3 linked regions of the Tamandua tetradactyla genome follow. The protein of the gene in region 1 interacts with the protein of each later gene in a biochemical or structural test. Links are inferred from orthologs where the notes say so. Each region holds a gene or a part of one and is shown on either strand. Other genes may lie near its edges.

The links.
Region 2: the proteins of SNTB1 (region 1) and FRMPD4 interact in a test that uses a peptide from one of them, tested with the Homo sapiens proteins (2 studies listed by IntAct, with this or other methods). The link is inferred for Tamandua tetradactyla from reciprocal best matches to the Homo sapiens genes SNTB1 and FRMPD4.
Region 3: the proteins of SNTB1 (region 1) and DGKZ form a complex in vitro, tested with the Homo sapiens proteins (2 studies listed by BioGRID and IntAct, with this or other methods). The link is inferred for Tamandua tetradactyla from reciprocal best matches to the Homo sapiens genes SNTB1 and DGKZ.

What each region holds. Positions count from the first base shown.
Region 1 is NC_135332.1:165,260,597-165,268,161, forward strand, and holds the start of SNTB1 (beta-1-syntrophin), read right to left. Parts: upstream 3,010-7,565; 5' UTR 2,895-3,009; intron 2,721-2,894; 5' UTR 2,493-2,720; coding exon 1,922-2,492; intron 1-1,921. UniProt on the Homo sapiens protein: Adapter protein that binds to and probably organizes the subcellular localization of a variety of membrane proteins. May link various receptors to the actin cytoskeleton and the dystrophin glycoprotein complex.
Region 2 is NC_135353.1:162,685,790-162,693,588, reverse strand, and holds the start of FRMPD4 (FERM and PDZ domain-containing protein 4), read left to right. Parts: upstream 1-4,789; 5' UTR 4,790-4,802; coding exon 4,803-4,959; intron 4,960-7,799. UniProt on the Homo sapiens protein: Positive regulator of dendritic spine morphogenesis and density. Required for the maintenance of excitatory synaptic transmission. Binds phosphatidylinositol 4,5-bisphosphate.
Region 3 is NC_135334.1:123,054,115-123,062,211, forward strand, and holds the start of DGKZ (diacylglycerol kinase zeta), read left to right. Parts: upstream 1-5,087; 5' UTR 5,088-5,690; coding exon 5,691-5,785; intron 5,786-5,901; exon of another isoform or gene 5,902-6,892; intron 6,893-7,034; coding exon 7,035-7,107; exon of another isoform or gene 7,108-7,228; intron 7,229-7,329; coding exon 7,330-7,486; exon of another isoform or gene 7,487-8,097. UniProt on the Homo sapiens protein: Diacylglycerol kinase that converts diacylglycerol/DAG into phosphatidic acid/phosphatidate/PA and regulates the respective levels of these two bioactive lipids.

The DNA of each region.
Region 1 (7,565 bases):
GCCACGCTCAGGAAGTCCACAGGTTGTTCCAAGAGGTCCTTCCACAAGACACGATGTTCTTAAGAACATCATGTGAGAGTTACCCCACAGCCCACTTTTCAGTTACAGTCTCAACAGTCTCAACTGCTGGAATTCTTTCCTTTACCTAAGATTTTCAAATGCAGGGAACCACCTTTTCTTTTCAAAGGGTGAGAGAGATTTGTTTTTACCTCTTTACCAAGTCACTATTCATTAAACTGAAACCAAAGAAAGGAAGAAAGGAAGGGATATAATAAAGGACGGTGCCTGAAGTAAAAATGCCCTCCATTTGTCCACCCCTCCCTACCCCCTGATATTTTATAGTAAGTACTGCAAGCTGATCAGGTTTCCAGGAGTTTATAGTCCAAACTACACTTGCTTCAGATCCCACCTGCCACTCGCCACACAAACCAACACACACTCGAATCAAGGAAATATTTTTCTGTTTACTTATGGTAATCATTAGGCCAAAGCAAAGAGCCTTCCACTTTTTGGATCCAGGCTGGTGATTAACTATGAAGACAATACAGAGCCTGTATACAAGTAAGGAGGAAAAACAGTAACAAAAGCAAAATAAGCTCTTTGCATTCTAGGCCAGGTAACGAAGCTGCTTTCCCAACTCGGAACATTCTCAGTTCCACACCCCAGCACCCCATCTAGAAAACTGATCTAAGCCTTGAGTTAAGATTTAAATCAACCGCCAGTTTCTGAGGTCTCAACTTGAAACACTCTGTTTTAATGGCTACGGGTTCATTTATTCATTCATTCACTCACAACACATGTGATTGAGCTTGTACACTCAAGCGTGACCCACATCTGAATAAAAATTCAGGAAACGTGATCTAGAGTTAGGAGAAAGCTAGGTAAATAGACAAAAATAATTACACAAAATCAGTGCTGATAGCCACAAGCACCAAGTGCTAAAGTACAGACAGGCAGTCATCAAATGAAAAATACAATGGAAAGGCCACTGCATTATGGGTTTCATACCTACTGCCCTTCTCCACCACACAACCCCATACATATACACAAACGGGTACAGCAGTTACTCCTATTCTATTCACATCCAATAATTAGTGGATTGACACACCCCATCCCAGGAAAGTGGGTTCAAAGGCGCTACACATGCATGGGAAACTATTTGCAAATGCACAGTTGTTTCCACATCTTTCCAAAAAAGCCACGGAAAGAGAGGGGCAGAAAAACCACCTCACCCATCCCTCACACCCAGAGCAATCCGGAATCCAGACAGATCCCTCAGACATCGGGCAGAAGTGAACTTTCGCAAAAAAAAAAAAACACCTGCAGCCAATTTCCCAGCCCTTGGCACAACTTTCCGGGCATAAACGCGCTCTCCCAATTTGCAGAGGCGAAGAGAGGCGCTTAGAATTTTAGCATCCACACATTGCCACCTCTCTCTGCCCCTTTATGATTCAACCCATTTCTGCTGGTTTACCGGGCTTCTGAGAGGGAAATGCTGCCAAAGCGGAAAACTCTACGAGTTGCAATTACCCGGTGGGCCCGCTTCGCAACCGCGACGGGTGAGTATCTCTAAGCCTACCGTTCACTTCCCGTTCAGCTCCTCAGTCCCTACGCTACACGCACACTATCTGCAGATAAAATGAGACAACGTGCACCAAGCACCGGGCCCGGTGCTTGGCACACAGTAGGAGCTCGCTAATCCTACTCATCTGGCCTCCGGTCCAACACCTTTCCTGGGTCAAGGCCTGTAAAGACTCCAGGGGCGGAGAGAAGTAGACCCCATGTGGGTAAAAGTTGTCGCAACTCCCCGCCACCCCACCTCCCCGGACACCTGCAGCACGATGGCACGTGCGGGGGTGCGAGTGCGCGAGTGGGAGCAGCAGTGGGTGTGGGCGCGTCCGGTGCGGCGTTAACCCCTTACCTTCCAGCAGCACCTCCTTGCCCGCGCGCTTCAGCGCCTGCACGGCCTCGTCGTGGGTGGCGTCCCGCAGGTCGGCTCCGTTCACAGACAGGATGGCGTCGCCCACGTACAGGGCTTGGGTCTGGTCCGCCGCCAGCCCCTTGAAGATCTTGCTGATGAGGATGGGCATCTTGTTCTCCTTGCCCCCCTTGATGCTGATGCCCAGCCCGCCCAGCTCCTGCTTCAGCACCTTCACGCCGCGCTTCTGGTTGGAGATGGACTCGGGCACCTGCTCCGGCAGGTCGGTGAAGGCTGTACGGACGCCGGCGGGCGAGTCCGGGGGCTGCGCGCCGCCTGCGCCCGAGTGCCCGGCCCCGGCGCCCCTGCAGAACGAGCCATTGGTGACGGTCCCGATGCCATTGTACGCCGCAGCGCCCTCCTCGCAACTCAGAACGAGGGCGTCCTCGCTCAAGTTCACCAGAACTTTGTGCCAGCGATCCCGCACCAAAACTTCCAGCAGCCCGCTCCGCTGCGCCCGGCCGCCACCCGCGCCAGCCGGCCCCGCCGCCGCCGCCGCCGCCGCTACCGCCATCTTTCCGGCATTCTTAAAATGCCATGCGATTGCAAAAGGGGGGAAAAGTGGGGAAGGGTTGGCGCGGCAGGGGGACGCGGGGCCCGGGGAAGCGAGGAGAGCGCGCCCCGCAGGGCGGTGGCAGGACGCGGGACTCCACCCCGGGAGTTCGCAGACGCACTCGGCGCGAGTTGGCAGCCGCAGCCCAGCTGGTTCCCCCTCGTCTGCTCCTGGGCGGGGTGGAGCAACCTAAAAGAAGAAGGAGAGACAGAGCCTGGAGGGGGGAGCGGTCAAAAAGCCGGCTGCCAGTTGCAAAACCCCAGACCGAGAGGAGCGGCGGAGCAGCTTAGCGCCTGTGGGAGCCGGTAGAGGAAGGCGCGCTCTCCCGCAAGGGCGAGCACCGACCGCCTGGCGGCCGCTCACCTGTTCCAGCCGCAGCAGCCTCGGCGGTCACACGGCCACACGCCGGCTCGGACCCTCCCCGCCGCGCTGCTCGGAGCGCACGTCGCCGCAGGGACCGCTTCGCCAGCTCCTTCCGGGTCCCGCTCCTCTCCACCCCACACCCCCCCCCCCCCAACCCTCTCTTCTCAACTCTTCCTTCTCCGCGGGCGTCTACACCGCACCCTTGCCGGGTCTGTGCGGACTGCTTGGGCGTCCTCAGTCCTTCCCCGCACCACTGTATCTTAGACTCAGTTCTCCTATCTCTGGCTTTCTCAAACCGAGGTTTCGCTTCCCTGGCTGGGTTCCTACCTGTCTGTCCTCTCCGCAAGGGCTTTCAGGAGGACGGCAGACCCCGACCGAGGCCCTGGGCTCTGGACAGTCAACAGGGTCCCAGCTGTCCCCAGAGCCCAGAAAGAAGCGTCAGCATAACCCGAACTCCCTGAACCTCTTCTTCTCAGATGCGGGACATTTTTTCTGCCAGTCTCCGGTGAGGGGTCACTGGTGGCCCCGTGTCTCCAACAGGTCACTGCCTGCCCTAGAGCCCAGGGACAAATGCTCTCAGCTCTAACACATGATATGCTTTATGCTTCAGATCTAGCTTTTTACCCAGTGCCACACCAAATGCTTCTGGGGCCTTCTCTTTCTTCCCCAGATCCAATACAGGAAGTCCCCCATCTGAAAACTCAGCTAGAATGGGCTGTATCTCAAAAGTCTCTCTACAAGTTACAATGATGGAGCGCAGCCTGCATCTTTCCAAGGTGACAATATTATAATTGTTCTTTACCTTCACTGGCAGTCAGAGAAAGCCAACATAACCCATGTCACAGCCAAACTTCCACCTGAGAGGCCTCAGAATCTTGAGCCTCTAGAGTTCTCCCCAGACATTAGCAGATCTCCTAGGCTTCTCAAAGTATTTCATGCTTCTGTTAGCTCCCCACAGCCTTTACACTCCTTGCTCCAAAAACAGAACAAAGCAAAACTCACATATCTGCAAATTCCTCAAGGTAAACTCAGCTTAACTAGGTGTCGGGAGGAAGGAAATCTTATTGAACACATTCTCACTGACAAGCACCAACGTCATCGAAAGCTCTCTTTCAATAAGTCAGGAAGCTCATCATTTTATTCAAGGATGCTTCCCAACTCTGCTGAACTCTAAAGGCAGAGTCACAGAATGAAATGAAAACGTTTGCATGTTTTTTTTTTTTGAAGGGGTTGGGTAGAGCACTGCAGGCAGGCTGGGAGGAGCCCTTGAATTAATGTATCTGTGTACAGCTCCCTCCTTTCCTATATTTCTTAACCCACTGGTTTTCCACAAGTTCTCTATTCTTCATGCAGGGACAGCAGCCACAGGGGCTCTCCAGGCCTCTGTGCACAGGTTACAAGTTCACCCAGGAACTGATGTAGGCCGTACCTCTGCTTTACAGTCCAGGACATACATCACTGTACATGGAAATCAGAGCCTGAGTTGGCCTTTTGACCCAAACACACTGTAAAGACTCCTTTACTCCTGTAAAGAGGGAGGTAGGGACCAGAATGGCAGTGTGTTGACTTAGAAATCAAGACAGAACTTCCCCAATCCAGAAATCTACTGTCAGCATCATCCAAGCATCCTGTCTCTGTGGTCAGGCAATGTGGGAGACCCAGGCATAACCAGATGTGATTTGTCTATGTGCCATGAGAAATTACAGGCTCTGGGTTGGGAAATTCTCAGGGTCTCTGTGATTAATACTTTTTTCCCCCTGTATAAGCAAACTTATATGGGAGGGAGTAGGTGGCATGTTGAAAGTGACATCAGAATGAGAGGAATCAAGAATTTAATATCATTAGGCCCGAGGCATGTATCTTAGCAAAGATAGCTTTGCCAATGAAACTATAATAGCAGGCCATGTTGTAAGTTCTGACACAAATTAACTTAGGTAATTTTCCCAGCAAGGTACTATTAGCACCAACCCCATTTCATCGGTGAAGAAATGGAGACGCAGAGAGGAATGATAATTTGTCTGGGTCACGTAGCCAGTAAGTGGCAGAATGAATACTAGAATCCAGTCATTCTTTCCAGAGTCTGAACTCTTAACCATCGGCCAGCAATGTCCCTGGAAAGTACTCACAGCCTGTTAGCTACAGCTCCTACGTTCACCTCTCAAGGGGGAAAAAACTCTGGGTCAGGCCCTTCGCGGAGACCTTATGTGGAAGGGCAGAGGTGGGTTTTGCCTGTGGCCTCTCCTTCTCTCTAAGGTTACAGAACCCCCCACCCTTTCCTTATTGGCACATTCTATTTTTCTTTAAACATGCTATTATGTTGAAACTGGTGCTTGTTGTGGTCTCGCCGGCCTAAAAGACTGCCTTATCTCCCAGACAATTCTGCACATATCTGACCTCTGATTGTTAATGTTGACTTTCAAAATGAGACCTTACTTATTTTACACCTTGGTTCTTGGCGGTTCAACCTCACTGTAGAACCCTAATACTTATAATCTGGACAGGTTATACACCCTGCTGTCTCTCCTTTTACAGAGTCATCATTGGAAAGGATGGAAGAGACTTCTAGCTTTCTCATTTTATAGATGAAGCATGTAAAGCTGACAGAGAGGCACCGACTGACCTCTGGAAGCATTTGTGGCAAAGTCAAGTCTAAATCTGGGATGTCCTGACTGGTAGGTCAGGAGAATCGGGAACGGCACTGCAACTGGAGCTGCCAAGGCTGTGTCACCCCTCCCAACATGGCTTCTGGAGCTGCCCCTTCTGGACACCTGACTTCCGGAACTGATGAACCGCCCCTTCTGGACACCTGACTTCTGGAGAACCGCCCCTTCCGGATATCACCTGACCCCTTGCTTAAAAACTGCCCATGCCATCGCCCAGGTGTTGACTCACCTCCCTCCATCTTGGATTTGGTGAGCTCAGCCCCGGAGCGCAGAAATACACCTGCATGCTTTAAATTTCCCGATTTACCTTCCTTCTTTCTCACCCTTTCGCCTCTTAAACCTTTCACTGACTACCAGTTCAATTCAGTATTCCAGAAACTACAGTTGAAACACATCTCCACCCTGTGCTGCTTTTAATTTTTATTTTTACAATTGTGGGTTTTTTTTTTGTTTTTTTTTTACCAGATTTGTTTTGCTTAGCAGCATCCCCTGTTCTGCTTCTGTTTTCTGCCCTAAACCTTTTTTTTTTTATTCGCATGGGCAGGCACTGGGAACCTAACCCAGGTCTCCGGCATGGCAGGGAAGAACTCTGCCAGTGAGCCACCGTGGCCCTGCCCTAAACTTTTGACTTTCCTTTCCCACCCAGCCCAAACCAAGCTCTTTCTATGCATCTTTCCCATGATATGTGCAATTCCCTAAGATATTTGGATGGACTTAAACTCACAAGAGCAGGTTGCACGGCCCTCAGCCAAGGGTACTCAAGAGAGCAGCAGCGTGTGCCAGAAGGAGCGGTGTTTCTGCATTTATTTCAGTTTTATTGCATACCTTCCAGGTGCCAGGCACTGTTCTAGGTACTGGAATATGGGAGCAAGCAAACCATCAAAGACCTGCCCTATGAAGCTTACATTGTAGTGGGTAGGAGAGGGGAGGTGGAGACAGACTGTAAACACCTAAATAAGATACTTCCCTGTAGAGGTACATACCAGGAAGAAAATGAAGTCAGAATAATAGGCTCCAGAGCCACTGGAGGCTAGGGGCTACTGGAGGTGGTGGCTCTTAAAGAAAGCCGTTGTGACAAGGTGACATTTAGACTAAGACCTGAATGATGGGGAGATGGATACCGTGCAAAGATCCAGCAAAGAGGGTTCTAGCAAGAAGAAAAAGCCAGTGCAAAGCTCTTGAAACAGAGCCAAGCTCATTGGTTCAAGGAACCGAAAGGAGGTCAGCATGGCTGGGGCAGTGCTGGGGAAGAGAGAGGTAGGAAAGGAGATTGGAAAGATAGGCTGGGCCAGATCCCATAGGCAGGGCTTGGGAGGGTTACAATGCAGAACATCCTTGTTCCCTTTGAGTTCCAGCAGTTTATGTTTGTGGATTTTCAGGGACAATCCCACGTTTACTATGACTTCCTAATACCACTAAGTAAACCTCTACCAGCCAGAACACAGGCTCCAATATTTAGGTTTGGAAAATATGATCATTGTAATTGTGGTACTGTTTCCTAATGGGTGGTTTGAGCATGTTTAGGGGGACTTTTCAAATAGTCATGTGAAGAGTGAAGAAAAAGAAATAAGAGCTCTTGAATCTCTGGGTGTAAATTAGAGAACAGAGTGAAATAGGAGCAGGAGGGGTGCTTGCAATGCAAAGCTCTTCATTTGAGGCCTGCCCTGTGCAAATACATATTGATTAAATGCTTAGTTCTTGTTAAGAACTAAGGTAGGTGCTGGAGGCAGGCACAGCCAGGGATGCAAAGATGATTAAGAAAGACAGACATGTTCACAAAGAGGTCGGGGGTGGAGGTGGGGGGACATGCTGAGTGTGAAATGAGTGTGGAAGCGGTCAGACTCCAGATTTTAAAGATGAAGCATTGAGACAAGGGGGTGGGGCATGAACAGGAGGCTGAGCAGATTCTGTTTTCTCTGGTGTGCCCTTGTCAACTAACAAGCACATCATCAATTTTAAAAGTCTGGGAAGCATCCTCTATTTGCCACCATTGGGATAGGTCCTTGGT
Region 2 (7,799 bases), on another chromosome or scaffold:
TGATTCATTTCGCTGAGTGAGCTGAGCCTCGGGTGTTTGGACTGGTATTGATTTGCTTTTCATACTTTAAGATGGAATGAGTTCATCATGTCTGATACTTATTCCTTTCCATTCATTTAACCCCAGACAATAAAAATAATAGCTAATGCTTTTTGAATGCTTACTTTGTGCCAGACGTTTCGCTAAGTGCTTTGCTTTACTGTGTTCACTCATTCAATTGGCACCATCATGTTTGCAGGTTGTTACTAGGATTGTTGCCACTTGCCAGAGGAGGCAACTGAGGCACACAGAGCGCTGCAGTGATGTGTGCAGGTCCCACTGCTAGGAAGTGGTGGGGTCAGGACTCAAATCCAGGCAGTTTGGCTCCACAGTTTCACTCCAGGCGGCAGCGGCGGTTCTCACGTTCACCCTGAGATTGTAGCAACTCGCCCTGAGTGGTTACTTGTGCAAACCAGGAAGGGTGACCTCCTTGAGTGGAAGAGAGTGTCTCATGCCACGGGGATCCATCGGGACACAGGACTTGCATCATGATGGGTCCATCCTCACCCGGAACATGGGGCGGATGCAGGAAGCAGGACCCAGAGCAGGCATATATATTCCAAACATATTTGAATTTTCATTTCTTGCCATCTCTAGCACTCCCACCTTGGTCCAAGCCATTGTGATTTAAAAAAAAGTTTTTAATTGTATTACGGTAACATATATATAACATAAGATGTCCCATTTTAACCACTTTTTAGCATCCAATTCAGCCATGTTCATTACTTCCACAGTGCTATGCTACTAGTGCCCCGTGATCTTTTGCCAGGCTTGATGCAGCACTCCTGCCTCACTCTGACTGCTTCCACCGGGGGCCTCTCCAGTCTGTTCTCCACTCTAAACCTACCGGTGTTTTCCTATTTCACTCATAGCAAAAGCCAAAGTCCTTCCAAGGGCCTGCATGGTCTGCACTCCCCTCTCCCATCACCTCTTTCCCACTGCCCTCACTGCCTCCAGCCACTCACACTGGCTCCACGCAGTTCCCGAGGCAGGCGCTCACCAGGCACACGGTGCCTCAGGACCTTTGCACGCATTTGGCATGCCCAACACCCTGACTGCTCCTCCCCAGACAGTTCTCCAAGCCTGGACATAACATGGAGCTCCCCTCACCTAGCAGCTCCCTCTCCCGGACCTTTCCTGCTTTTGTTTTCCCCTTAGTGGTCTTCATGGCCAGACATACTACATATTTTATGAATTTATTAGTTTATTCTCTGTCTCCCAATACTGGAGAGAACATTTTACTTTTTGTCTGCTTTCTTCACCACCCCAGTACTGAGGGCCCATTATCCCCAGTACTGGGCGCCCAGTGGGCAGGTGTTTTAGTTTGCTAAAGCTGCTGGAATGCAATACACCAGAAATGGGTTGGCTTTTATAAAGGGGATTTATTTAGTTAGAAATTTACAGTTCTAACTAAATAAATCCGAGGAAAGGCGGCTAGCTTTCATCTGGGTTCCTCTGTCACATGGGGAGGCACACACAATGTCTGTCTGGCCTTCTCTCCTGACTTCTGGGTTCAAACAGCTTTCCCTGGGGCGTCTCCTCTCTGCATCAACAAATATCTGGGTCTATATCAGCCCTGAACACTGAGCTGAGCTGTGTTGAGCTGCTTTGCTCTCTTCTGAGTTCTCCTTTTAAGCCTCCATCTGATCAAATTAAAACGTCACTCATTGCAGAATGCACTCCTTTTAGCTGACCACAGATGTAATCAGCCGTAGAGGAAATTCACATGCTGATGATTTAAGTCCACAGCAACAGAACAACTGGACATCATCACCTGGCCAAGTTGACACCTGAACCTATCAGATCAGTCAATAAATATTTGTTGACTAAATGATTGCATTATGGAGTGGTTTGGAGAATTAAATGTGCTAATATATGGAAAGCATTTAGAACAATACTTAGCACAGAATTAGGGTTTAATAAATGTCAGCTCTTAATAATAACATGCTATTGAATAGATGGATGATTGAATAAATTAGATACTATTACATTATCATCAGGTAATGGAAAGAAGATAGTCAAGCCAAAGATATTTTAAATATTTAAACTTAAATTTGTAGTACATGCTAGAAGATATAATTGGGGATGTCATTTGTGCTGTTTTCTCCTATTATCTAGAAGGCATACTACAACCCACCCTTGCTTGGGCAGGTGCATGGTCCCCAAACATTTTCACATTTTAGAATCACCTGGGAAGCTATTAAAAAAACAAAACAAAACTGTGACACCTGGCCCCCACTCCCAGTTACTCTGATTTAATTGGTCTGGATGAAAACTGGGTGTTAGGTTTTTGGTTTTTTTTAATGCTCCCGTGGTGATTGTGATGTGCAATAAAATTTGGGAACCACTGCTGTAAGCTTTTCGCAGAACTGGCTACAACAAGGGGAAAGCCTTCCCCTGTCCCTCTCTGGGCTTGGAATTCAGAGCGAGGCCAACCAGCATTCAAATCTCTGCTCTCCAGGCTATGGGTGTATTAGCAAGTCCATTTGCTTCCACCAGCCTAGCCTTGCTCGTTTATATCTGCAGTGTGAGCTGTGGATGCTGAGAACCCAGAGCTCAAGGCCAAGCTCCAACAATGGGGATACTCCTTCCTACCTTTCTTTCTTTCTCCCTCTCTCTCTCCCTTCCTTCTTTCCTTCCTTCCTCCCCTCCCTTTCTTCCTCCCCACCCAGGGCCCTGCCTGAGACTTGTGCCCTGAAGACAGGGGCCCATCCCACGTTGGCTTTGCTGGTTTCATCAGGGTTTTGAACTCTGTCCTACCGATGGCCTGGCCTCTCCATGGGACCGCCTGCCCACCTGAGGTCTGCCCCCCCACCCTCATCTCCAAGCATGCACCCCACTTGGTGGCTGGGTCTAACCTCTGGATCCAGACAGACACTTTCAATGTCACATAGAGCAACCCCTCCTCTTCTTCCCTGTAACGTTGCTGTTCTGAGTGTGGATATTTCTAGAATAGTGGTGGTACAGTGGATAGCCCACTACCAGCGCCCTGGACTCAGAGGGTCCCCACCCTGGGTTGAATGCTCTGCTGTCACCATCTTGAAATTCTTGGTCATTTTTGAACAGGGAAACCCACATTTTCATTTTGTACTGTGTGGGCAGACGATGTAGCTGGTCGTATTGACTAGACTCAGAATCAGAAGACCCAGGTGTGACTTGCACCTGGCTCACACCTTAGGAGGGTATGCCCTGGAGCCAGTTAAATTTGCTCTCAGCATTTGCAAAGAGGGGATGGGGGACAGGCTACATGTCAGTCCTCTGTGCACCTCTTTTCACCTAGCCTTCCAGATCCCAAGGAGCTAAATCAAAAAGACATTTCCTTTCTGCTTAAAGGGAGTTTAAACTTTGCTTTTCCTACTGAGTGATATATGCCTAAAGAACAGATCCTAGAGGAGTCTCATTGATGAGACTTGCCTCTTATTAATTACTCAGAAGGACTACAGGACTTCTCCTCCCCTGTTTTTCTTGATTACATTTGAACAATATGTTGTCCAGATGGCATACAGAGTAGCATCGTCCAATGTCCTTAAAAATGATCTTCTTTTACTTATTGAAGAAGATTAGAGAGAGAGCAAATTGAATTAGGCCCATGTCGTTGAAATAATCTTGGCTTATGTTGCTTTAAGGAGATTTCTAGCCTTCAAGCTAATAACTCTTCCCCAGAAGATAGCTGCTGGGATAAGATGCCTGGGTAAGGACTTCATTAAGAGTCACAGGAGTTGATTTTAAGCCCTTCTCTCTGGCACACCAGCCACGGGTCCTGAGTGACAGTCAACTGTTCTTTGATCTCAGCTTCCTTATTAGGAAAGTTTAAGTAATAACACCTGCTCTGCTCCCTCATTCTCAAGGTGGTTTTGTGGATCCCATGAAATATCTGTGGAAGCGTGTTGAGAATTTTTGACTACTGTCCAAATTACAAGTTTGGACTATCGGTGAGACTTCTGAAGTTGAGCTGTTAACCAAAAATTCATGTAAATCATTTGAAAAGCATTTCGTAAAATAAATGCCAAGAACCAGATTCTAAACTCCATGGGAAAAGGGTATGCATTTGATATAGGATAGCCTTTCACCACCAAAATGATCCATGACGCTCAAATTGCATTGGAGCCTGGAACCACAGATGTCACCTAGGAAACGTCCATGTCACTTTGAGACTCTTCCTCAACATATCAGTTATAATTTGATGGTTTTCCTCAGAGAAATATCTTTTTCTCTATTAATTCAGTTAGTTATTAGGCATCTACTATGGGCCAGGCACTGCTGTAAGCACTTGGAGTAAATCAGCAAATAAGAGAAATTCCTTGCTCTCATGAGTCTTACATTCTAGAGTGGAGAGAAAAACAATAAAAATAAGATTACAAAATAATTATATTCTGCAGCATGTTAGCAGGTGATCAGTGCTATTGAAGAAAAATAAAAAGAAGGAAAAGGTGCACAGGGATTGTGACTTAAAAAGAAAACTCTTTTAAGAAGATTATATTTGAGCAAAGATATAAGAGAGATGAGGGTAAGCCACACAGATATCTGCAGGACAAGCATTCCAGAGAGGGGGAACAGCTGGTGCCAAGGCTCAAAGCAGGCATGGGCCTAGAGTTTTCAAGGCACAACAGGGAGGCCACAAAGATGTTTCCCCATATCTTCTCCACTCTCTACCAAACAGAGCACAGAAGGCTCAGAAACTAGACAATTTGCGATTGTCGGGCTAATGTACAATACATGCATTGATGCCTCTTCTCTTGTGTGTGTGTTTTTTCTGCAGTCACATGACACAGGCAATCCCCTTTGATGACCCTCGGTTAGAGAGCTACCAAATCATCCCTCCAGCTCCCCGGAAGGTGGAAATGCGGAGGGACCCCGTGCTGGGGTTTGGTTTTGTGGCAGGGAGCGAAAAGCCAGTGGTCGTTCGCTCAGTAACACCAGGTAAGTACCCAACCCCACTCCTTGGTCTTCTAGAGCCATCTGCCCCAAAGATGACATAAGCAAAAGCTTGAAATGTGTTTATGCAGTTGGAATTGTTTCTTGGGCTTTGGTTATGGCCATGAGAAGTTTCCCCCTGCGAGGTAGCCGCTACCCCTTCAGCCTGAGCCCCAGGATGAGCGCATGGGGCAGCAGGTCTGCAGTCTGGAGCTAAGTGCAGCCTGACCCACAGTTTGAAGCAGAACTACCCAGCTGAGCTTGGCCAAGTCCAATCAGTCTGTCGTATTAAAGACCTGTGAGCATGAGAAGAAACGACTGTTGGGCAACCACTAAGTTTGTCAGTTTGCTGTGCAGCAAATGCAGACTGATGCACACAGGGCCAAATCTCTTAAATTCTGTAATCTGGTCAGAGAAGCAACGTACTTTGCCTTGGTCATCCTCATGACGAACAGGTATACACGTCCCACTATCATCTCACTCTAACGCAGTAGAGTTAATGCAGGTACCTGAAGTGGGCTGCCTTTGCCTTTCCCGAAACAATGCTTTTGCATTTATTTATTGTATGATTTATGTACTTGTTTTACTGTGCTTGTATTGGATTTATTTTCAGACAAAAGGAAATTTTCTTCCATGCTGATTATCTTTTGCAAATCAGTAAGAGTTCAGTAGTAAAGTACTGTAGTTAAGAGCAAATTCTTCCTCTGTGCCTTATTAGATATTTTTTAGCTTTCCTGTTATTTAAATGCCCTGCATTTCATTTTAATGTAACTTCCCTACATCATCTGAATAATGGGGATCACGGTAGTGTCTACCTTACAGGGCCATGGTGAGAACGAAATAAATTAGAAGAGTGCTCAGTACATAGTTAACACACTACAAATGTTTATCATCATCATCTTTTAACTCTAAAATATTTGGCCAGTTGAATCTATCAATTAAGGAAAATACAATCAACCATTCTAGACTTGTGCTTAGAAGAGTAAATTTCCTTTACACTCCTACCATTGTCTTACCACACACTCCTTCCTTTGCCTGCTAGAGCTCTTTATTTTATTAGATATAGATAACAGTTTAATACTCCATGTGGGATTATCAAGCCTAACATTATTGAGAGTTTTATTCTTAAACTGGTTTTGTTGCTTTTTGTGATAACGAAATAATACATGTGTTTTGTAAAAAAAAAAAATACAATGTAGACAGTATAAAGGAGAAAATTTTTTTAAAATCACCTGATTTCCTACTATCAAGAGAAAACCATGTGTAATAACTATAATTCAGTGTGTATACATACACACACAAATACACTCACATATTATATATATATATATATATATACACACACACACATATATACATATTGTCTGTATAAATATAAACATAATTTTTCCCAAATGGGATCATATTAGGCATGCTGCTTTGTAATACCGGTGTATTTTTAGATCCCTGCTTATGAGATTCCGCAAAGTATATATCCTCCCAGGAGCTGACTAGAGACTCTAGCCATGTTTTTCATTTTCTTGCATTGCCTCCCTGTTCCTTCAGCCTCTTCCCTTCCTTGGCCTTGGCCCTCTCTGAAGGTTCAAAGACACTAATACCTACTGTTAGACAATTTTGAGAAGAGTAGAAAAAGTGAAAACAGAGGTCAAAGAGAAATGTTTCCAGTCAAATTTATGAGTGAAAATGTTGGTCAAAGAAACTGTGTCTATCATAAAAGCAACTCTACCAAAGTCCCAAGTGATTTTGGTGGTGTGACCTGATTTTCTATACTAGACAACCAAGCCTTCAGAGCAAAGGGCATGAGACAATTCTCTGAAGCATGCCCCTGTTTCATATCTTGGAAAGAACTATGTGTTGCTTCCTCCAGATTTCTTGATTTAAGTTGTTTGATTAAGTAAGAATCTTTCCACTGGATTGAAAAGCATTGGTCAAATGTAAGACAGTGTCCCATTAATTTTAGAGTAGTTTTCTTATGGGAATAATAATGATCCATCAACCAAACAGTTGATTTGAAAACTATTCTGTGTTTGGGCAACATTTGATTGCTAAGCATTTGTTTGAGTGAATTTGAGTGACTGCATGCCCATAATCCAATAGTTATGATAAGTTTCCCTAGGGATTTTCCAAATCCCTGATGTGTGCAAACACTGAATTTTAGTTCCCACATCTGTGAAATGAATATTTTCTATCACTGATATGGGGCCATGTTAAAGTTTTCCCCACTCCCCTACTTCCCAAAAGGAAAACAAGTTTTTTGACAGCTTGAGGGACACATACGCCAAGTTTCTGAGTGGGTGGGAAGCAACTGAATTACTTTCAGTTCCATGTTCAGGGCATGAAGTGTTCATTTTGACTACTAAATAAAGGAACAGCAAAAATATTTGAAAGATAACATTTTAGCAGGACGTGTCATTCGGTGATAGACCTCTGGGAACAGATAGATCTTATATAGATAGAAATGTTAGGGTTATCCAGATGACCAAAGTTCCATTTAAATGCAGATGTGTGGCTCACACAGATGTGGCTTTAAGCATATGTGTCAAGAGACCTGGTGGCAACAAGTCTTTCAGTTATGGGAGCAGGGTTAAAAGAGGTGTTGGCCATTCTGAACTTGGAAGATCCAAGCTGAGATCCAGTCCTACTCCTTCAAGCCAATCTCAGCTTGCGTTAGCCTCAGTTTTCTCACTATATGGAAAGGATTATAGTGTACAGTTGGGTTTAGTAGGCAAAGCATTTAGCTCATTGCTTGGTGCATAACAAATACCCAGCAAATATTAGTTCCCTACCTTCTCCTTGGAAAAACAACTGAGAAAGAGAGAAAAGCAGTCAGGCTCCTACAGCTGGAT
Region 3 (8,097 bases), on another chromosome or scaffold:
GGGGAAACGCGGTTTATGGATTTGGAGGAATGGGGACTTCTAGGATCCGGCGGCAGAGGACCCAGATGGGCGGTGTGGAGTGATGACCCGGAGTGATGTGCTTGTGGCTGGAGCAGCTGTGTCGAGATGGGGAGGGGAACCTGCAGACCGGGCGGAAGGACTGCCATGTACAGGGCACAGCAGAGAGCTTGGGCCCTGCCAGATGGGCATGGGAGAAGAGATCGGCTTGGTTAGAACCCAGGGTTTGCGTCAAGGCTCAGAAGGTCCAGTTAGTGCCACACTACAAGAGCCACATCTGCCAGGCGGCTGCGGGGTTTGGAAGTCACTCTGAACCTGTAGTGGTGCGGCAGATGCCCTAGGCTCTGTGAGAAATTGGTGAGGTTTAAGCCATTTTCGTAGTAATACAAAGGCATTATTTGCCTTTTTTGCTTTGCTAATATTTGTACTGATGGTAAAAAAGCAATGGTAGAAACTCTGCAAGTGAAATCATTGCCCACCCTCCTGCAAGGGACATGACACCCAGGGGTGAAAGTCTCCCTGGTGTGGGGTATGACTCCCAGGGATGAGTCCGGCCCTGGCACCGTGGGATCAACAATGCCATCCTGACCAAAAGGGGGAAAAGAAGTGTGACAAATAAGGTATCAGTGGTAGAGTTCACATAGAGTTGAGAAGCTATTCTGGAGCCTACTTTTTTTTTAGTGTTTTGATTGAGATATTTTCATGTGTCATACAGTTCATCCAAAGTGTGCAATCCCTGGCTCACAATATCATCACCTAGTTGTGTGTTCATCATCGTGATCATTTTTAGAATATTTGCATCACTCCAGAAAAAGAAATAAAAAAGAAAAAAATCCATGCATCCTGTACCTCTTACCCCTCGCTCTCATTGATCACTAGTATTGTAATCTACCCAATATTTTTTTACCCTTTATCCTGGCGCCCCCCCATTATTTATTTATTTTTTGTCCTTATTTTTTTACTCATCTGTCTGTATCCTGGATAAATGGAGCATGACCCACAAGGTTTTCACAATCACACACTCACATTGTAAAAGCTGTATCATTATATAGTCGTCTTCAAGAATCAAGAACTGCTGGAACACAGCTCAACAGTTTCAGGCACTTCTCTCCAGCCACTCTAATACACCATAAACTAAAAAGGGATGTCTGTATAATGCAGAAGAATAACCTGCAGGGTAACCTCTCAGCTGTTTGAAATCTCTCAGCCACTGAGACTTTATTTTGTCTCATTTCTTTTGTCCCCCCTTTTGGTCAGGAAGTCTTTCTCAATCCAATGATGCCAGGTCCTGGCTCATCCTGGGATTTCTGTCCTACGTTGTCAGGGAGATTTACACCCCTAGGAGTCATGTCCCATGTGGGGGGGGAGGGCAGTGAGTTCACTTGCCGAGTTGGCTTAGAGAGAGGCCACATCTGAGCGCAAAAGAGGTTCTCTGGGGGTGACTCTTAGGCGTAATCTTAGCTAGGCCTAGCCTGTCCTTTGCAGGATTCATGGGGACAAACCCCAATATCAAGGTCTCCCTATTGATTTGGTTGTTCCCATTACTTGCAAGAATATCAGGAATTCCCCAGATGGGGAAGTTTAATGTTTCCTCCTTTCTCCCCAGTCTCCCAAGGGGACTTTGCAAATACTTTTTTATTCTCTGCCCGAATTACTCTGGGATCTATCGGGACATCACGCTAACCTGGACAAACCAACGACATCTCACACCCTGGTCAGGATTCCATGTAATTACAGTGTTTGAATGAACACAATTAATACAAGTTAAATTAGATAATGCGCTACCAAAAATATAAATTTTGTACCAAATAAACATCTCTGCCTTTGGTCTCACACAGAAGTTGAAATTTTAAAATAGAGACCATATCATCCTTTACCCTTTAGTCTGGCTTGCCTTAGTCCTGTCCAGATCAACTTCATTCATATCTCTAGGTGAAGTCCGATCACGTTTTCAACTTTTTATACAGTTGTTGTATGGGCTAATGTTGACTTTCAGAGCTGTAGTTCTGAGTCTCAGATGTTACACAAATCCACGAAGTTCCAGGGAATGACCAGATTATACACAAATAGCTCAATATCTCAGAATTTAGAAATAACAGTTACAACTTTGGAATAGATGTGACTGCTGTTAGAGCTTGCAATCTCGGAACCTTTACAATAGGCCCCGGTCCCTCCATTTCAGTTCTCCGGGTTTGTATATTAGTTAGTCCGTATGTGTGGGGCATGATGATATTTATCTTTCTGTCTCTGACATTTCATTCGGCGTACTGTCCTCAAGGTTCATTCACTTAGCTGCATGCCTCACAACTTCATTCCTTCTTTCAGCTGCTCAGTAGTCCATGTACACACCACAGTTCCCCCTTCCATCCCTCGGTCGTTGCACCCTTAGGCCACCTCCATCTGTTGAGAATTGTGAATGCCGTGGCCAGAAACACCGGTGTGCAAATGTCCATTGGTGTCCCCACCCTCAATTCCTCCAGGTATATATCCAGCATCGGGGTTCCAGGGTCCAATGGTAACCCCACCCCTGGCCTCCTGTGGTCACCGCAGTGCCTTCCGAGGGGCTGCGCCTCTCTTCTTCACAGCCAACAATGAATAGTGCGTCTCTTTCTCCACATTTCCCCCAGCTCTTGTTATCTCTCTGTTAATTTTTAAACAGTTTTTGCACATCGTACAATCCAACCTGAGTGAGAATCAGGGGTTCCCAGTGTGGAGGCTGCTCTTACACAAGCTTCAGCTGGAATGCTGATTACCAGGGTTTGCCAGACCCCAACCCAAACTGCTCCTGTTAACCCTGCAGAACACCCAGCACTCTTTCAGAGGTTCTGCAAAGGTTCCAGGCACTGTGGCAACTTTCCAGAAACCTACAACTTCCAGATGGACCCCTGGACCAGATAAGTCCTGAAATGCGGAGGGCGCAGCCTCTCCAGCACATCAGCTAGTTCCATCCCCCTAGCCCTTATTACTGACAGTCCCTTCCAACATGGAGAACTTAGAATGGCCATAGCCCAAATACACCTGAAGAGTGGGAGAATGATCAAAGGTGATGGTGGCATTATATATGGAGAAGGTCGGGTTTAACAAATGAATCTGCTGCTGAATCATTATATTCATAAAGTCCATATTCAAATTCATAAAATGATTATAATCATTTTAGTCTCCAGTGTCTTGGAGCAGCTAGAAGGAAAAACCTGAGATTGTGGATATATGTTATATTTCATAGAAAAAAAGGTTAAAAAAAAAAGCGATGGTGGGTAAACTGCTGGAGCCATAGCACAAGTCAAGGCCGCGGCCCACCACGTGCGAGTCGGCACTCACGCGCATGTCATGCCACACGTTTGCAGTAAAAAAGAAAAAGCGCAATAAAAATGATTGATTTGGGAGTCTTGACCCTGAGTAGGTATCATTTTAGCATTCTGGCAAAGAAATGGGAAGTATACAAAAATCAGCTTCCACTACAGACTGGACTGTGGTGCCACTTTAAGGAAAAGCTCTTGTGCTGCTGTTTGAGTTGCAGGCTGTCCTGTTTGTTGTTGTCAGGGACACCGTTTTACTCTCAATAACAGTCAGCGCGCTGTTCAGACTGGGCTGTTGGGCAGACATTATCTTGAAAATGAATAAAGCGAGCAGACATTTGAACAACTGGATCAGTATTTGTTGCCATTGAGGAAATTTGGGCTTTTGGGAGATACTGGAACTTTTCTGATGAGATCTTCAGTGATGCTGGCAAATGTCACTTTTTTGATATTGTGTTGTATGATGAAACTTGTCAACATTTGGAAAACTTGCATAACTCAATAAACCAATATTTGCCAATAACCATTACTTGATGCCACAGATTCCAAAGTGCAGGATGGACCATCGAAAAGTTCATCAGTGTTGTTTCTGATTCCACATTGCAGCTAACCGTTTAAGAAACAGCCTCTTGTCATATTTTGGCGTGTAGCAACGAAAAATATCTATAATTATTCTGAAAAGACTATTAAAAATATTCCTCCCTTTATCAAATGGATGTCAGTGTGAGACAGAATTTTCTTCATATACTTGAACCAAAACAACATATTGCAACAGATTGAATGCAGAAGCAGATAGGAGAATCCAGCTGTCTTCTGTTAAGCCAGACATTAAAGATTGCAAAAATGTAAAACAATGCCACTCTTCTAACTTTTTGTTTTTTAAAAAATACAGCGCCCCCCCCCCCCAAAGTGTGTTATGTTAACATGTAGTGGGCTTATTGTTTTTAAATGGATTTTTCAAACAGTTCTCGGTTTTAATTCCTAGCAGGGTCAATATTGAGAGCTATAATGTACTCAAAGTGTCGTCGGCATCCTCAGTGTAATTTTTAAGAGTGTAAAGGGATCTTGAGATTTGGAAGTCTGAGATTGCTGCTCTGGACCCTCAGGGGCCGTCCCAGGAGTGTGAGCCGGAGTGGTGAGCCTGCTGGGGGCAAGCGTGTGGTGTGGGGCTCCCCCCGGGGCGTCCTGCCTCTTGCCCAGAGCCAGGGCCCAAGGGACTGGACCAGGAGTCCCCGCCCGGCCCCTCGAGGGTGTCCGCCCGCTCAGGGGAATGCATGGTGGGGAGTGCTTTGTAATCTGTGAAACACTCCACCAGTGCTTACTTGTGTGGCTTTTTCTGGAGCTGGTGTGCTTAGCCATCTCTGACCCTTTCCCTGCACCCGAGAAACCTGCCCAGTGGGAGCAGGAGGGCGAATGGCCGGCTCCCCTCCCCTGAGGCCCAGGCATTGGGGTTCTCACGCAGGCCCCTGGTTTCCCCCTGCAGTCTGGGCATGGCCGGGCTGCCGGGGACCAGGCTGGAGGGGAGGCCGCCGGGCTGTCGCTCAGCCTGGCTCTGGGAACGGTGGGAGAAGGAGCCAGGAGGCGAGGCTCGTGCGTGCGCAAGTGTGCCGGTTCAGCCGCCCACCCGCCGCCTGCTCGCTGCAGGGCTTGGAGCCGCTGCTGGAGAGGAAGTGCCGTCGGTTACCAAACGGGTTATTTTCATAACGGCTGTCTCAGGCTGGGGGGAGGGTGGCGGGGGGAGGGGGCAGAGGCGCAGCCGCCACCGCCGCTCACTGTCCAAACTAGGACTTGCTCTGCTGTGAGCTGGAGCAGTGCGGGGCGCTGCCTGCGGGGCCCCCAGCCCCCACCCGCCCACCTCCTGACTGCTGCCCTGCCTTCCAGACCAGGTCAAAAGGGGGCTTCCTCTGGCTCTTCCTTCTCCCTCCCTCCCCCTGGGTGGGTCTGTGGGAGGGGTGGGTTGAGGTGGGCTCGGGCTCTGGTGCCATCATCCCAGTGAGGGTTCTCTCTGCTGGCGGTCTGGAGCTGATAGCAGAGGGGTGCTGTCACCCTTAGCGGTCTGCTCGTCGCTCCCGCACACCCAGCCCAGTGCTCCCTGTGGCCCAGCTGTGCGGTTCTGTCTGGGGCAGACTCTGCTCAGCAAGTAGAAGCCTTGGGGGAGTCGGGGCCCTGCCTTGCCAGCCACCCCAGGCCTTCCAGCCGTCCCTGCTCCTGCCCCAGGGCCTGTGGGAGCAGGGCAGCCTGGGGTGGCTTTTGACCAGCAGCCCCAGGCCCTGGTGCACTGGAAGTGGGGTCACCGTGCACCATCCCCAGCCTTCACTGAGCAGAGAGGGTCTCGGCCCCTGCCCACACGTGGAGTGGGCACTCTGGCCCAATCCCATGGGGCAGCCTGTGCAAGCGCCTGTGGAGGAGCTGGGGGGATCTGGGTGCTCCCAGGGACTGAAGGCATCCTTGCAGCATGAACAGACGTCCAGGTGACACTGGCTGCCGTGTTCCTCATGGGTGGGTGGTGGCCTCCTAGGCACTCTTACTTCTCTTTCTTGGGTTCCCACCCCCGCCATGGGAAGCACAGTCCACGCACCTTTGTGCCCACTGCAGGTGATGGGTCCGCCGTGGCCCTGCACTCTGCCAGGTATTGTCAGGCCCTTTACGTCTGTCATCGTGCCTGAATGTTTTGCAGATGAGGAAACCCAGACTGGAAGGTTAGCTGATGGGCTCGTGATACCATGGTGGTAAATGGCAGGTGTAGGATTCCAAGACCCTTGGGCTTTTCTCCTCACAGTAGGGGCTGTGAGGCTGGTCTGGGTGGGGGCTAGGGGCCCTGTCCTCCAGCCCATGCCAGTGAAGCTGGGTGCTTGGCCCTCTCCCCCACAGCCAGCTGCCTTGGCTCAGCAGCTCACAGCCACGCAGGCTGCCGTTTATCAATTGGAGGGGGCAGACTCCACCAGGCCTGTGTCCCTCCCCCAAGTCCCAACAGCCCGCTAGAGGTCGATGGGCCGCATGAGTCCTTTCCCATCCTGTCCCCTTTGGGGTCCCCCCAGGCCCCTGGACACAAAGCCAGGAGGCAGCCGTTTACTGTGCTCTTGGTGTCAGATGCCTGGGGGCCTGCTTTGATGACCTTGCCATGCACTCTGGGGTGTGTTGGAGGTGACAGAGAGCGTGAAATGGAGAGACACTGCTGCCCAGAGCTGTGCTCTGGGGAAAGGCCAGGGCTGAGTGGCCAGACCCAGGAGAGACCTCAGCAGAGACAGGAAGTCAGGAGTCGGGCGGTCACTGACCAGAGGACACGGGTTTCCATGGAGATCCGAGGAACAGGAACCCGGGGCCTTGGAGGAGTGCCAGGCAAGCGAGCTTGTCAGAGGATGTCCGTCAGCCCACTAACGGCCTTCTCAAGGAAACCAGGGCCAGGAGGGGACAACTTTCCACGTGGTCACACGCCGCATAGGCTCAGGCCTGCCTGCTTGTGGTCCACTGTAGACTGCCCGCACCGTAGGAAGCCAGCCAGGGAGGTCTCTGCCCAGTGTGTAGGCAGAGCTGGGGTGCACCTGGGAGCTGCCCCTCCGCCTCTCCTCTCCTTCCAGGTGTGAGCAGTCGGCCTCTTCCTCCGGGCTTTTCTTGCCGAGGTGGGCCTGGGGCCGCAGCAGGGCCCCACATACTGCCGCCCAGGGAGCCTGCAGCCCCCCCCCTTGCTGACTGTGGCCTTTGTTTTCTGGTTGACACCAGCATCAGGCCGTGTGTCCGGGTGACTCATCTCCTCCAGGCTGGGCAGCGGTTCCCAGGCAGCCTGACCAGACAGGTGCGGAAAGCCGACACCCTCGGGGCGTGCTCCTGCCAGTGCCCAGCAGTGGTGGGCAGGCGGGACACTGGGCAGATCCCAGAGTGGCCGGGCCAGACCAGGGACGTGCGGCAGCTAGGCGGTCAGTTCCCCTTGCCTTGGTGGTGCCAAAAGAGCTCGTTAGCCCAGGCCTGTCACCCAGCAGGTGCTGAGGAAACGGGGCAATTGTTTTTTCTATGACAGCTCCCTTCCTTGGCCCTGTCCCGCCTTCACCCCGCCTTGCAGTCCAAGAGGAAAGATGCCTCATGCTGCACCCGCCTCCAGAGCGCAAGAGGCAGGCTTTGCGGTCAGCTAGGCTCACGTGACCCCACAGCTCTGCAAGGACTAGCGGTGGGCTCAGGCAGGTCACTGCGCCGCGGCTTCCTCACCAGGAGCTTGCACAGCACAGGGCCACCGCGCTGGGTGGTGGGGACGTATGAAGTGGTAGAAACGTTCGCAGAGGTCTCGGCTCAGCTCCTGGGTAACGTTGTTACTGTGAGAGTGCCCTTCAGATGTGGCCGGGGCCCTGTCCACACCTGCCCTCCCGCCCCCTTTGAGTGGGGAGTGAGAAGGCCGTGCCACCCTTTCTTTGGCCGCCTGCAGGGCTGGGCCTGTGAAGGCAGGGACCAGGAGCTGGGCAGGCGCTGACTGCCCCTGCACCACTGTGCCCTGCCTGCCACCCGTCCATTCCCCTGCCTAGGGCTCGGGCCTGGGGCTGCCTGCCCTGACCCACAGGGTCCAGTGGCAAATGAAGACAGTGTGTGGGTGGGGGGAGTGGGCGCGAGACGTACAGGCCAAGCCCAACTCCCCAAGCCCGTCAGCTCCACCTGCGTCTCCCTTTCTGCCCACCACTTGTCCGGGGTGCCCAACTACCTGCCTAATGGCTGCCAAGCCCTCAGCAGGCAGAGGTACTTCTCCTGGTAGCTTCAGGTGGTACCGACCCATGGCTGTGACTCGGGCCTCCCTGTGGCT